Linked DNA regions of Macaca mulatta. The protein of the gene in region 3 purifies or fractionates together with the protein of the main gene of each other region. This does not show direct contact. Links are inferred from orthologs where the notes say so. Each region holds a gene or a part of one and is shown on either strand. Other genes may lie near its edges.

Region 1 (3,646 bases), on a different chromosome or scaffold from region 3:
TCCGCTGGGAGGCACACCTGCGGGGTGGAGGCGGGCGGGACGGCGGGCGCGGGCAGCGGGCGTTTTTGGTGATCTGCAAGTGATGTGCACAGCATAACTTTATTCTCCCCTTTCCACAAAGTACCATTCAAAATAATGTCCTTTTCTTTCTTAAAATACACATTTGTCATTGTAAATTTACATCCCGTCTTATTAAATAAGTGGTACTCTGTGTAAAGAGGATGATTTACAAAATTATTAAACATTCAAAAGTCTTTAAGAAAAAGCTACATGTCAAAGACAGTGACGCCAGCAGCACGGCCCGGGGTCGTGTGACAGACGCACTGCGCTGCCCAGACGCGCCCACCCCACTCACAGCGCCCAGACGGAGATGGGTTCCTAGAAAACGTGGAAATAAAACCTCCCCCTCCCTGGGGAAAAAGAATTAAAGAGCTACAACTAAAAACCAGAATAAGTTAAGTTTTGAACAATATACAAACATGTACAGCTTATCAACACTATGGACAAGACCCGCGCTGGCAGCCGGGCCATCAGTCAATGTCACTGAGGTCGCTGGTTGGCTCCCCGTGGACGCGGCTCAGGTGGTTCATAGCGCGGTCAAAAGCGATCCGCACGGCCTTCCGGATGCTGGAGTTCCTCCCTTCCATCATCTTTAACTTGTCTATAGTTTCGTCGATACCAAGGGGAACCATTTTGGACTTAGGAAGCCACTGCCTTTTTAAAAGGAAAAACATGGGGAAATCATTGCTTGCATGTGGTGCTTCAACGTGCTCCATGTAATCATCTAACACATCCACTGCCCTCTGATAGAAAGGGACCCTGCTCAGCACCACCAAGACAGCTGGGCCCTGTGTAGGGACAGGCCCGAGGCCAGGGGTGCACCCCTCCCTTCCCCTCCCTTCCCCTCCCTGGCTTGGGGATATGGGGAGCTAAGTAAGGCAGAAAAACCATCACCTCCCTCCTCCACCTCCAAAACGTTCCCAGTGCCTGCCGAGTGACAAGACATGCACACACGAAGCCCAGAGCCAGGGTGGGCCCCGGAGCAGGGGCCGGCGGTTGGGGAGACCCCATCAAAGGGGCCCTCGGATGGACAAGGTGTGGGCCTCGCTCAGGGCCTGACAAGGAGCAACGGCCGTGTGGCCAAAGAGGCAGAGGTCGGGGCAATGAAGAGAAAGACGGTAGGGATGCCTGTGTTGCCAGCCATGCTCCAGGCACACCATACGCAGGTGGCCCTGAGCCTCTGCGCCAGGTCCCCAGAGCAGCCAGCTCCACGGGGAACCAGGAAGCACCTGCCTGGGCCACGTGCGCAGGGCACAGCTGGGGCTACATCTCTTCCCAGAGGCATGTGCTGCCAGCGCGTCCCACACAGAGGCGCCTTGGGGTCTGAACCCTGGCACATCAGAGTCCCAGGCACTGTGCGAAAAAGCAGCCCAGGGCACAGGGGGAGCCTCCTGTGATGGGGTAGACGTCTGAGCAGAGCTGGGTGACGCCAGGACGGAAGGCTCTAAGCACAGGGCCAGAGGCCAGGCCCAGGCGGGGGCCGTGTCCTGCAGCACAGGGGTCCAGGAGCCCAGCAGTGGGACCCCCAACACTATAGCCGACACGGGTAAGGAACAGAGAAGAGATAGCCCGGGCCAATGGGCTCAGGTGAGAGGGAAACAAAGCCATCAGACAGAGACAGACCCTGTGCTCAGTGCCCATCCCACAGTCCCAGCAGGGGTGCTGGGCAGTGCCCTTCTCCACCAGGCAAACAGCAGAGCACCCACCTCCAACTTTAGCTCTGCCAGGGCCCAGCAGATAAAGAGGCTGCTCACCACAGGGACACTCGGGTCACCAAGCCCACGGCCCCCACACAACCACCCCAGCCGGTCCCCGGAGTCTAAGGCCTCTTGACTCACCAACTTCTCTTATTATCAAAAAAGAGAACGAGGAACAGCTTCTCGTCGGACTTGGTCTGCATGTGCTCCCCAATCTTCAGCACGTCTAGGGGTGGGGCCGGGATGGTGACACCATTGTGGTGGCCAGGCACGCGCGGCATCTTCGGGTCAATGATCTGCACGAGAAGGACCCACTGAGGTCACTGTGAGGCTCACACCCACAGACGACTGCACCTGTCACCGCACCACCCCCACCCCCCCCCAGCTGTGTGAGCCTCCTCGGACCATCCCCACCCCCCAGCTGTGTGAGCCTCCTCGGACCACCCCCACCCCCCAGCTGTGTGAGCCTCCTTGGGACCCACAGGTGCTGGGGCCCTGGGCACCACGAGAGCCATACTCACCAGTGCCGGGTAGGAGGGGTAGCCGCTGCACTTGGCCCACACCACCTTCAGGGGCTCCAGCACTGAGGCGGCAGCATCGGTGGAGATCCACATGCTGTTCTGGCCAACTTCTGCGGAGAGAGGCACGGCGTCAGCAGGACAGAAGGGGCGTGCCCCGCCCCCCAACAAAAGGTACACAGCAACAGGGTGGGGTCTCCGGAGCACAGCCCAGTTCCCAGGCCTTTCTCACCCACCCCCAGCAGCACCACTGCCTCTCTTGTGGAGTCCAGGCCCCTGCATCCCCCCCCGTCCCTGCAGCCCACCTGGGGACCCACCAGCCTCCCCCGGACCCAGAGAATTTTCTGCCCTCCGGGCTGGAAGGCTCTGACTCCAGGTGCCCAGCACAGTCCCTTCTGAGACCTCCTTGCCCCAAGGACGGGGCTCCCAGCGTGCTCCTGCCTCATTTATGCAGCTGACACCCCAAATCCGAAACCAAAGTCCTGGCTCCCCCTCCGCCAGACCAGCTCCCTGCTGTCCCTCCCACCGGGGGGGTCTCCGTCCTGATGCCCCCTCACAGCATGGCTGCCTTCCACAGTGAGGGCCGTGCCAACCCCAAACCCCAGGGCCTCCCCCTCTCCCAGGAGCCTGAAGCTGGGGGCACACCCTCTGCAGTCAGTCCCCTGTGCAGCCACAAATGACCACTGAACCTCAACAACCCCAGACAGCCTTGACAGTGCCCGGCAGCCAGGAGCCACACAGAGCTGGACGTTCCACAGGGAAACGAAGGCAGGATGGAGGAGGCGCCACCTCCACAGGCACCCCAGCAGGGCTGCAGCCCAGAGCCCCTCGGTGTATGATGAACCCCTCCCCAGGAGGTTGGCCAGGGTGGGGCTCCACACAGGGCACCGTGCTCCCTGAGCCAGAGTCCAGTCCCCAGCAGTCGAGCCCTAAGACGCTAACCGGGAGGTGTGGAGAGCCACGGACGCAGGTCCGGGCGACTCACCGGCTGCGATCCTGGCCGCCTTGGCGTAGTTCCCATTCTCGATGCAGGAGATCAGCTCACTGCGGTCCTCCAGCGTGTGCCTTCGCACAAGAGCCGGTTTGCCCCGCCCACATTTGGGCACACTAAAGCTTCGGGAGGAAGAGCAGAGGGAGTCAGGTGTCCCACCCCTGGCTTCAGCCTCACTCAGGTTTCGTCCCGTGGGCTGCCCGCCACCAAGCCGGCCACGCGTCCTGCCTGACACCCCTGCAGCCAGGCAGGCCTGTGGGTGCACAGGTCTGGAGGGAGTGAGCCTGTGGCAGGGGGTACTCAGGAGGCCAATGAGACAGGCAGGGCTGTGCTCACTGCCAGATTCTGGGAGGAAAAGATCAAGTATAAACTTAATTGCA
Region 2 (3,646 bases), on a different chromosome or scaffold from region 3:
TTTAGCCCACTTTACAGCTTCCCAAAAAGTACTAGTGGCATTTTTCAAATACTATTACACAGATTCCATTTTTATTTCTTTTTCTCTTCTAAAATTATTCCATATTCACCATATGAAACAAGGTTTTTATGGAATAAAACTATTCTACACTAGAAACAGTGAGAAGGATGCCCGGGAGTCTTCCTTGAACGTTACTCTAATGCCCACCAATTCCTCCCTTTGAGCAAATTAGCCCATTCACTTGGACCTAAGCACTTTCTTGCCATCAGCAACAGAAAGGGTCTGCAACAATCCTAAAGAGTTTTTATTCTAGGCAATTCCCTTCACAGCAATGGTCATGGGAGCTGCAGGGGGTGGGATTCCTGCCACTGACCTGTGCCGGTTTTTATTCTTTCGCTTTTTATGGCTGCTGTGGTGACTCCCTGAGGAAGTAGAGGAAGCAGCCTTCTGAGGTTTCACTCCCTGCACAGATCCATCCAGATCCTCAGGGTCCTCCTGGCTGGGCTCGTTTTCCTGATTGTGGAAGTCTGGAGAAGTGTCACTTTCCGTCCCACTTCCTGGCTCCCCTGGAGGAAATAAAACACAAGTTTCCAAATGCATCATCAGTACTCCTCAGGCAATCCGTCCATCAACATGAACACTAATAGGAAAAAACCATTCCCCATCCTCTAATTGACAGAGAAGATACATGTTGACAGAGAAGAGACACACAAAGGATCAAAGTTACCACAGGTCCTGAAAAAGCATGTAATCTGAAACAATGTAACCAGAGACAACATCTCTAAGGGCAGTTGGGAGACAGGAACATACAGCCAGGATAACCTCACTGCATAAAGGTTATTTAACCACAGAATACACTAATGGGATTAATAATTATACATAAAGCATCAGATAGGACTCCAGGGAAGTGAGGGATGATCTTGGAAAAAGTGCCTATAGCTGGCCCTGGTTTCTTCCCCAAACCATACGGGGATCCTGTCTTTTTATTAAAAAAAAAAAAAAAAAAAAGGCCAAAGAGGCAGAAGACAGCCCATTCCTGAATTACTCTAAGTTTTCCATTTTGTTTTTTGTTTGTTTAACCTTTAAGATCTGTTGAACTTGAACCTGATAAGTCTTTTTTTTTTTTTTTTTTTTTTTTTTTGAGATAGGGTCTCACTCTGTCACCTAGGCTGGAGTGCAGTGGCGGAATTTCCGTTCACAGCAGCCTTTACTTCCTGGGCTCAGGTGATCTTTATACCTCAGCCTCCCACATAGCTGGGACTGCAGGTGCCCATATGCATAAGCCCAGCTAATTTTTCTATTTTTTGCAGAGATGGGGTTTCACCATGTTGCCCAGGCTGGTCTTGCACTCCTGGGCTCAAGAGATCTGCCTTCCAAAGTGCTGACATTACAGGCATGAGCCACTACACCCAGCCCTGCTAAGTTTTATTTTATTTTATTGTATTTTGAGACAAGGTCTCACTCTGTCACCTAGGCTAGAGTGCACTGGTATGAACTGGTGTGATCACAGCTCATGGCAGCCTCAAACTCCTGGGTTCAAATTATCCTCCCATCTCAGCCTCCCCAGTAGCTGGAACTACTGGCACATGCCACCACACTTGGATAATTTTATTTGTTTTAAGATGGAGTCTCACTATGTTGCCCAGGCTGGTCTCGAACTCCTGGGCTCAAGCAATCCTCCTGCTTCAACCTCCCAAACTGCTGAGATTACAGGCATGAGCCACATACTCTGCCAAGAATATTTTTAAAATGCAGTAATATTCAGCTGACACATGTCCTCAATTTTAAAACATCACTGTAGATTATATTAAATAAATAAAAGCAAGCTCAATAACAACTTGTATAAATATATATATATTTATAGATCAGGCACAGTATCTCATGCCTGTAATCCCAGTGCTCTGGGAGGCTGAAGCAGGCGGATGGCTTGAGGCCAAGTGTTCAAGACCAGTTTAGACAACACAGCCAGACTCTCATCTCTATAAAAACAAAAATTAAAAATTAGCCAGACATGGCAGCACATATCTGTAGTCTCAGCTATTCAGGAGGCTGAGGTGCCCGTGAGTTTGAGCCTGCAGTGAGCTACGATCTTACCACTGCAATGCACTCTAGCCTGGGCAACAGAGCAAGACTCTGTCTCTTAAAAAAAAATAAAAACAAAAATGCTGCATGCAGTGGCTCATGCCCGTAATCCCAGCACTTTGGGAGGCCGAGGTGGGTGGATCACCTGAGGTCAGGAGTTCAAGACCAGCCTGGTCAGCATAGCAAAACCCCATCTCTACTAACACAAAAATTAACCAGGTGTGGTGGCAGGCACCTGTCGTCCCAGCTATTCAGGAGGCTGAGGCAGAGAGAATTGCTTGAACCCGGGAAGCAGAGATTGCATGAGCCGAGATTGTGCCACTGCAATGTTGCTCTGGGTGACAGAGCAAGACTCCATCTCAAAAAATATATATATATATAGTTATCAGTATGGTTTGGCTCTGTGTCCCCACCTAAATCTCATCTCAAATTGTAATCCCCACATGTTGAGGGAGAGACTTGGTGGGAGGTGACTGGATCATGAGTTGGTTTTCCCCATGCTATTCCTGTGATAGTGAGGGAGTTCTCACAAGAACTGATGGTTTTAAAAATGTTTAGAGGCTCCTCCTTCATGCGCATTCTCTCTCCTACTGCCTTGTGAAGAAGGTGCTTGCTTCCCCTTCGCCTTCCACCATGATGGTAAGTTTCCTGAGGCCTCCCCAGCCATGTAGAACTGTGGGTCAATTAAACATCTTTCCTTTATAAATTACCCAGTCTCAGCTATTTCTTTAGAGCAGTGTGAAAACAGACTAATACAGTTATATTTGTATTTCATTTATATATATACTTGTTTTTCCTGAAAGGAATTTCTTTAAAATCTTAATAGGTGAGGATGAGTGAGGGAAGACTTTCACTTTACTCAACTGTTGAAGGATCCTAAATATATACATTACCTGGCCGAGCACGGTGGCTCATGTCTGTAATCCCAGCACTCTGGAAGACCGAGGCAGCTGGATCACCTGAGGTCAGGAGTTCAAGACCAGCCTGGCCAACATGGTGAAACCCCACCTCTACTAAAAATACAAAAAATTAGCCAGGCGTGGTGGTGGGCACCTATAATCTCAGCTACTCGGGAGGCTGAGACAGGAGAATCACTTGAACCCAGGAGGTGGAGGTTGCAGTGAGCCAAGATGGCGCCACTGCACTCCAGCATGGGCAGCAAAAGCAAGACTCCGTCTCAAAAAACAAAAAACAAAAAAAATGTATATATATATATACACACACATACACACACACACACATATATACACACACATTATCAATTTCTAAAACTTGCCAAAAAAGGTCATGTGGTAGCAGAACCAAGGGACCAGTTTTCTTTTTTTTGAGACACAGTCTCGCTGTGTTGCACCCAGGCTGGAGTGCAGTGGCGCGATCTCAGCTCACTGCCATCTCCACCTTCCCAGTTCAAATGGTTCCCCTGCCTCAGCCTTCTGAGTAGCTGGGATTATAGGAACCCACCACCATGCCCGGCTCACTTTTGTCTTTTTAGCAAAGACGGGGTTTTGAAATGTTGGCCAGGCTGGTCTCAAACTCCTGACTTCAAGTGATCCGCCAGCCTCAG
Region 3 (4,089 bases):
AGTGTCGCTCTTGTCACCCAGGCTGGAGTGCAATGGCACAATCTCGGGTTCAAAGGATTCTTGTGCCCCAGCCTCCCAAGTAGCTGGGATTACAGGCACCTGCCAACATGCCCAGCTAATTTTTGTATTTTTAGTAAAGACGGTTTCACCATGTTAGCCAGGCTGGTCTTGAACTCCTGACCTCAGGTGATCCACTCATCTCAGCCTCCCAATGTGCTAGGATTACAGGCGTGAGCCACCACTCCCAGCCTTTTTGTTTTTGTTTTGAGACGGAGTCTCACTCTGTTGCTCAGGCTGGAATGCAGTGGCTCACTGTAACCTCCGCCTCCCAGGTTCAAGCGATTCTCCTGCCTCAGCCTCCTGAGTAGCTGGGACTACAGGTGCCCGTCACCACGCCCAGCTAATTTTTTTGTATTTTTAGTAGAGACGGGTTTCACTGTGTTAGCCAGGCTGGTCTCGATCTCCTGACCTCGTGATCTGCCCGCCTCGGCCTCCCAAAGTGCTGGGATTACAGGCGTGAGCCACCTGGCCTGGCCACAAGTTTTTTTTTTTTTTTTTTTTTTTTTAAGAGGGACACAGAGTCTCTCTCTGTCGCCCAGGCTGGAGTGCAGTGGTATGATCTTGGCTCACTGCAATCTTCACCTCCTGGGTTCAAGTGATTCTCCTGACTCAGCCTCCCAAGTAGCTGGGATTAGAGTCACATGCTACCATGCCCAGATAAATTTTTTTTTTTTTTTAAATAGAGACTGGTTTCACCATGTTGGCCAGGCTGGTTTCAAACTCCTGACCTCAAGTGATCTGCCCACCTTGGCCTCCCAAAGTGCTGGGATTACAAGCATAAGATTCTGTGCCCAGCCTGTCTACCTCACTTTCTAAGCAGGAAGAAGCCACCTGAGATTCTTCCTTCTCTCTCAACCACCCAGTCAGTCAGTCCTTTCTTTTTTTTTTTTTTTTTTTTTTGAGACTGAGTCTCGCTCTGCCGCCCAGGCTGGAGTGCAGTGGCCGGATCTCAGCTCACTGCAAGCTCCGCCTCCCGGGTTTACGCCATTCTCCTGCCTCAGCCTCCGGAGTAGCTGGGACCACAGGCGCCCGCCACCTCGCCCGGCTAGTTTTTTGTATTTTTTAGTAGAGACGGGGTTTCACCGTGTTAGCCAGGATGGTCTCGATCTCCTGACCTTGTGATCCGCCCGTCTCAGCCTCCCAAAGTGCTGGGATTACAGGCTTGAGCCACCGCGCCCGGCAGTCCTTTCATATTTAACTCCTAAATACTTCCATAACTCCCTAAAATCAGGTTCTTATCTCTGTCCTGGAATGTTATCACTAATTGATCTCTGTTATCAGTGATAGCATGCTTCAATTTACCATATATTAGTCATTTTCGTTTATAAAAATCACATTGTACTTTAAAATGCAAACTTCTTAGTTTGGCTTAAAAGACTGTCCAATCTAGCCTCAGCTTCTTTCTCCAGTCTCGTTTCTCAATTTCTTACCTTAGAGTCATAAATATTAAATACGCTGACCTCTGAGTCATAAATATCAAACACCCTTGACTTTGCCACAAACCTATCACAGTACCTTTGCAGACACTTTCCCCAACCTAGAATTCCCTTTTTCTCTCCTCACTGGCAAACAACCTTCAAGACCCTATTCAAACGTCACCTCCTCTGTAAAGCTTTTCCTACATCGCCAGGTAATTACCCCCCTTTTCTGCAGTGTTGCCTACCAAATGTCCTTTTTAATGGATTTCCATTATTTCACTTGTCACAGTGTTTTACAATTACTTGCAGAATCTGTTTCCTTCTAGATCGAGAGTTTCTTGAGGGCAGGGGCCTTGTCTTACCCATTTTTCTATCCCTAGTGCCTGCCATTATGTCTGACCCATAGTAGGAACTCAATAAATATTTGTTGAATAAATGACTCCGGGCCCTAAAACAAATGTAAGCGCATAGGGCGACAGGCTTTGTGCAGGGGTGGTTTACATAAATGGCATAACACCAGATTTTCATTTGATGGGAATTAGATCTTTACTCCATGAAGAGAAGCGTTCCAGCTCATCATCTGACAGTGGTCACTCACCACCACCACTCTCACCACCACCACTCTCAACCCCACCACTCTCACCACCACCACTCTCACCACCACCACTCTCAATCCCACCACTCTCAACCCCACCACTCTCACCACCACCACTCTCACCACCACCACTCTCACCACCACCACTCTCAACCCCACCCTCACCACCACCACTCTCACCACCACCACTCTCACCACCACCACTCTCAACCCCACCACTCTCACCACCACCACTCTCAACCCCACCACTCTCAACCCCACCACTCTCACCACCACCACTCTCACCACCACCACTCTCACCACCACCACTCTCACCACCACCACTCTCAACCCCACGAGAAGCCACTTCTGAGGAAGAATGGGGTGGAGGAGGGGTCTTCACCGCTGCTCCAAATGACAGTGGGTGATAACGATTCTGAACGACTATAGGAAAAAAATCTACCCAGAGGCTGGAGACGCTGGAGAATGGGGGCAGCAATTATCTTCCCGGCCGTGCACACTAGCCCTTCAAGACACGTCCCTAACCCCCACACCGCAGCCCCTCCCTCCTCTACCCCCAACAGCGGGGCCTCGATCCTGCTGCCCCGCCCCCTCTTTCTCCGCACCCTCCAATATTTCCTGCCACAGAACCCCCTCACAATTGTAACCTTCTCGTCATTGAGACTTAAGGGCTACAGATCCTCTCATCCCTGATCCCCGCACCACTCTACAGCCCCGACCCCCACCTCCAGCCTGCTCTTACTGTCCAGATAATGTTCCAAATACATCCCCGCAGCCATCTCGAAGCAAAACAAAGCAACTTCCGATCCGCCCCGGAAGTGACTATAACGCGACAGGGTCCGAAGCCATTTTGGGGCTAAAGCCTTTCCGCCCTTAAAAGGAGAACTTCCGCCCTTACTATGTTACCGCCGGTACACATCCGCCCGACGCTCTAACTTTTCCTTTTGCATGGTAGCCACGACCGCCCATAGTGAGGCAGCTGTAGCCCGCTTCCGCCCTTACAGAGACCCCAGGACGCGACCGAGACAGGTATGACGTCACTGAAGATCGCCATTTTGCATTATCGGGCAAACTTTTTTCCCTCCAAAACGGGAATGTATAGCAATCGGTGCAGGGGTAACTGTTCACTTTAGGCTTATATTGCGTAAACATCCCTTCTCAGCGACTGGAAGATACAGCTTTTTTTCCCTCTTTGCAGAATATGACTTTTTTCAAGCCAGTTAGTTTCTTAAGGAAGTTGGGGAAGAGTATCAAGCCTTGAGAGATTTAAACCCTTTGCATTTCTTTTCACTCACACAAACACCATCTCCCCCAGCATTATTTTTTAAGCTTGAGAAGGATTATCAACTTTCTACTTATAAATACAAATAATGACAATAATGCTATAATTCTGCACATCTTTTGTCGACCTCCTGTACTTTATACTCGAATACTTTCACATATAAAATATTACTTCTTTTTTTTTTTTTTTTTTTTTTTGAGACGGAGTCTCGCTCTGTCGCCCAGGCTGGAGTGCAGTGGCCGGATCTCAGCTCACTGCAAGCTCCGCCTCCCGGGTTTACGCCATTCTCCTGCCTCAGCCTCCCGAGTAGCTGGGACTACAGGCGCCCGCCACCTCGCCCGGCTAGTTTTTTTGTATTTTTAGTAGAGACGGGGTTTCACCGTGTTAGCCAGGATGGTCTTGATCTCCTGACCTCGTGATCCGCCCATCTGGGCCTCCCAAAGTGCTGGGATTACAGGCTTGAGCCACCGCGCCCGGCCAAAATATTACTTCTGACGTTGCCCTCTTGCTACTTTTTTTTTTTGAGACAGAATTTTCACTCTTGTTGCCCAGGCTGGAGTGCAATAGCGTGATCATGGAGCCATCTCTCCACAACCTCCACCTCCCAGGTTCAAGTGATTCTCCTGCCTCAGCCTCCCGTGTAGCTGGGATTACAGGCATGCACCATCACGCCTGGCTAATTTTGTATTTTTAGTAGAGACGGGGTTTCTCCATGTTGGTCAGGCTGGTCTTGA

The links.
Region 1: the proteins of ING4 (region 3) and BRD1 purify together in Homo sapiens (affinity purification with mass spectrometry; 5 studies listed by BioGRID and IntAct, with this or other methods). This does not show direct contact. The link is inferred for Macaca mulatta from reciprocal best matches to the Homo sapiens genes ING4 and BRD1.
Region 2: the proteins of ING4 (region 3) and MEAF6 purify together in Homo sapiens (affinity purification with mass spectrometry; 5 studies listed by BioGRID and IntAct, counting the BioPlex papers as one, with this or other methods). This does not show direct contact. The link is inferred for Macaca mulatta from reciprocal best matches to the Homo sapiens genes ING4 and MEAF6.

The regions. Positions count from the first base shown.
Region 1 is NC_133415.1:1,669,066-1,672,711, reverse strand, and holds part of BRD1 (bromodomain-containing protein 1), read right to left. Parts: intron 3,389-3,646; coding exon 3,261-3,388; intron 2,389-3,260; coding exon 2,279-2,388; intron 2,054-2,278; coding exon 1,899-2,053; intron 715-1,898; coding exon 531-714; 3' UTR 1-530. UniProt on the Homo sapiens protein: Scaffold subunit of various histone acetyltransferase (HAT) complexes, such as the MOZ/MORF and HBO1 complexes, that acts as a regulator of hematopoiesis.
Region 2 is NC_133406.1:203,295,492-203,299,137, reverse strand, and holds part of MEAF6 (chromatin modification-related protein MEAF6), read right to left. Parts: intron 567-3,646; coding exon 374-566; intron 1-373.
Region 3 is NC_133416.1:7,617,074-7,621,162, forward strand, and holds the start of ING4 (inhibitor of growth protein 4), read right to left. Parts: upstream 2,871-4,089; 5' UTR 2,853-2,870; coding exon 2,816-2,852; exon of another isoform or gene 2,799-2,815; intron 1-2,798.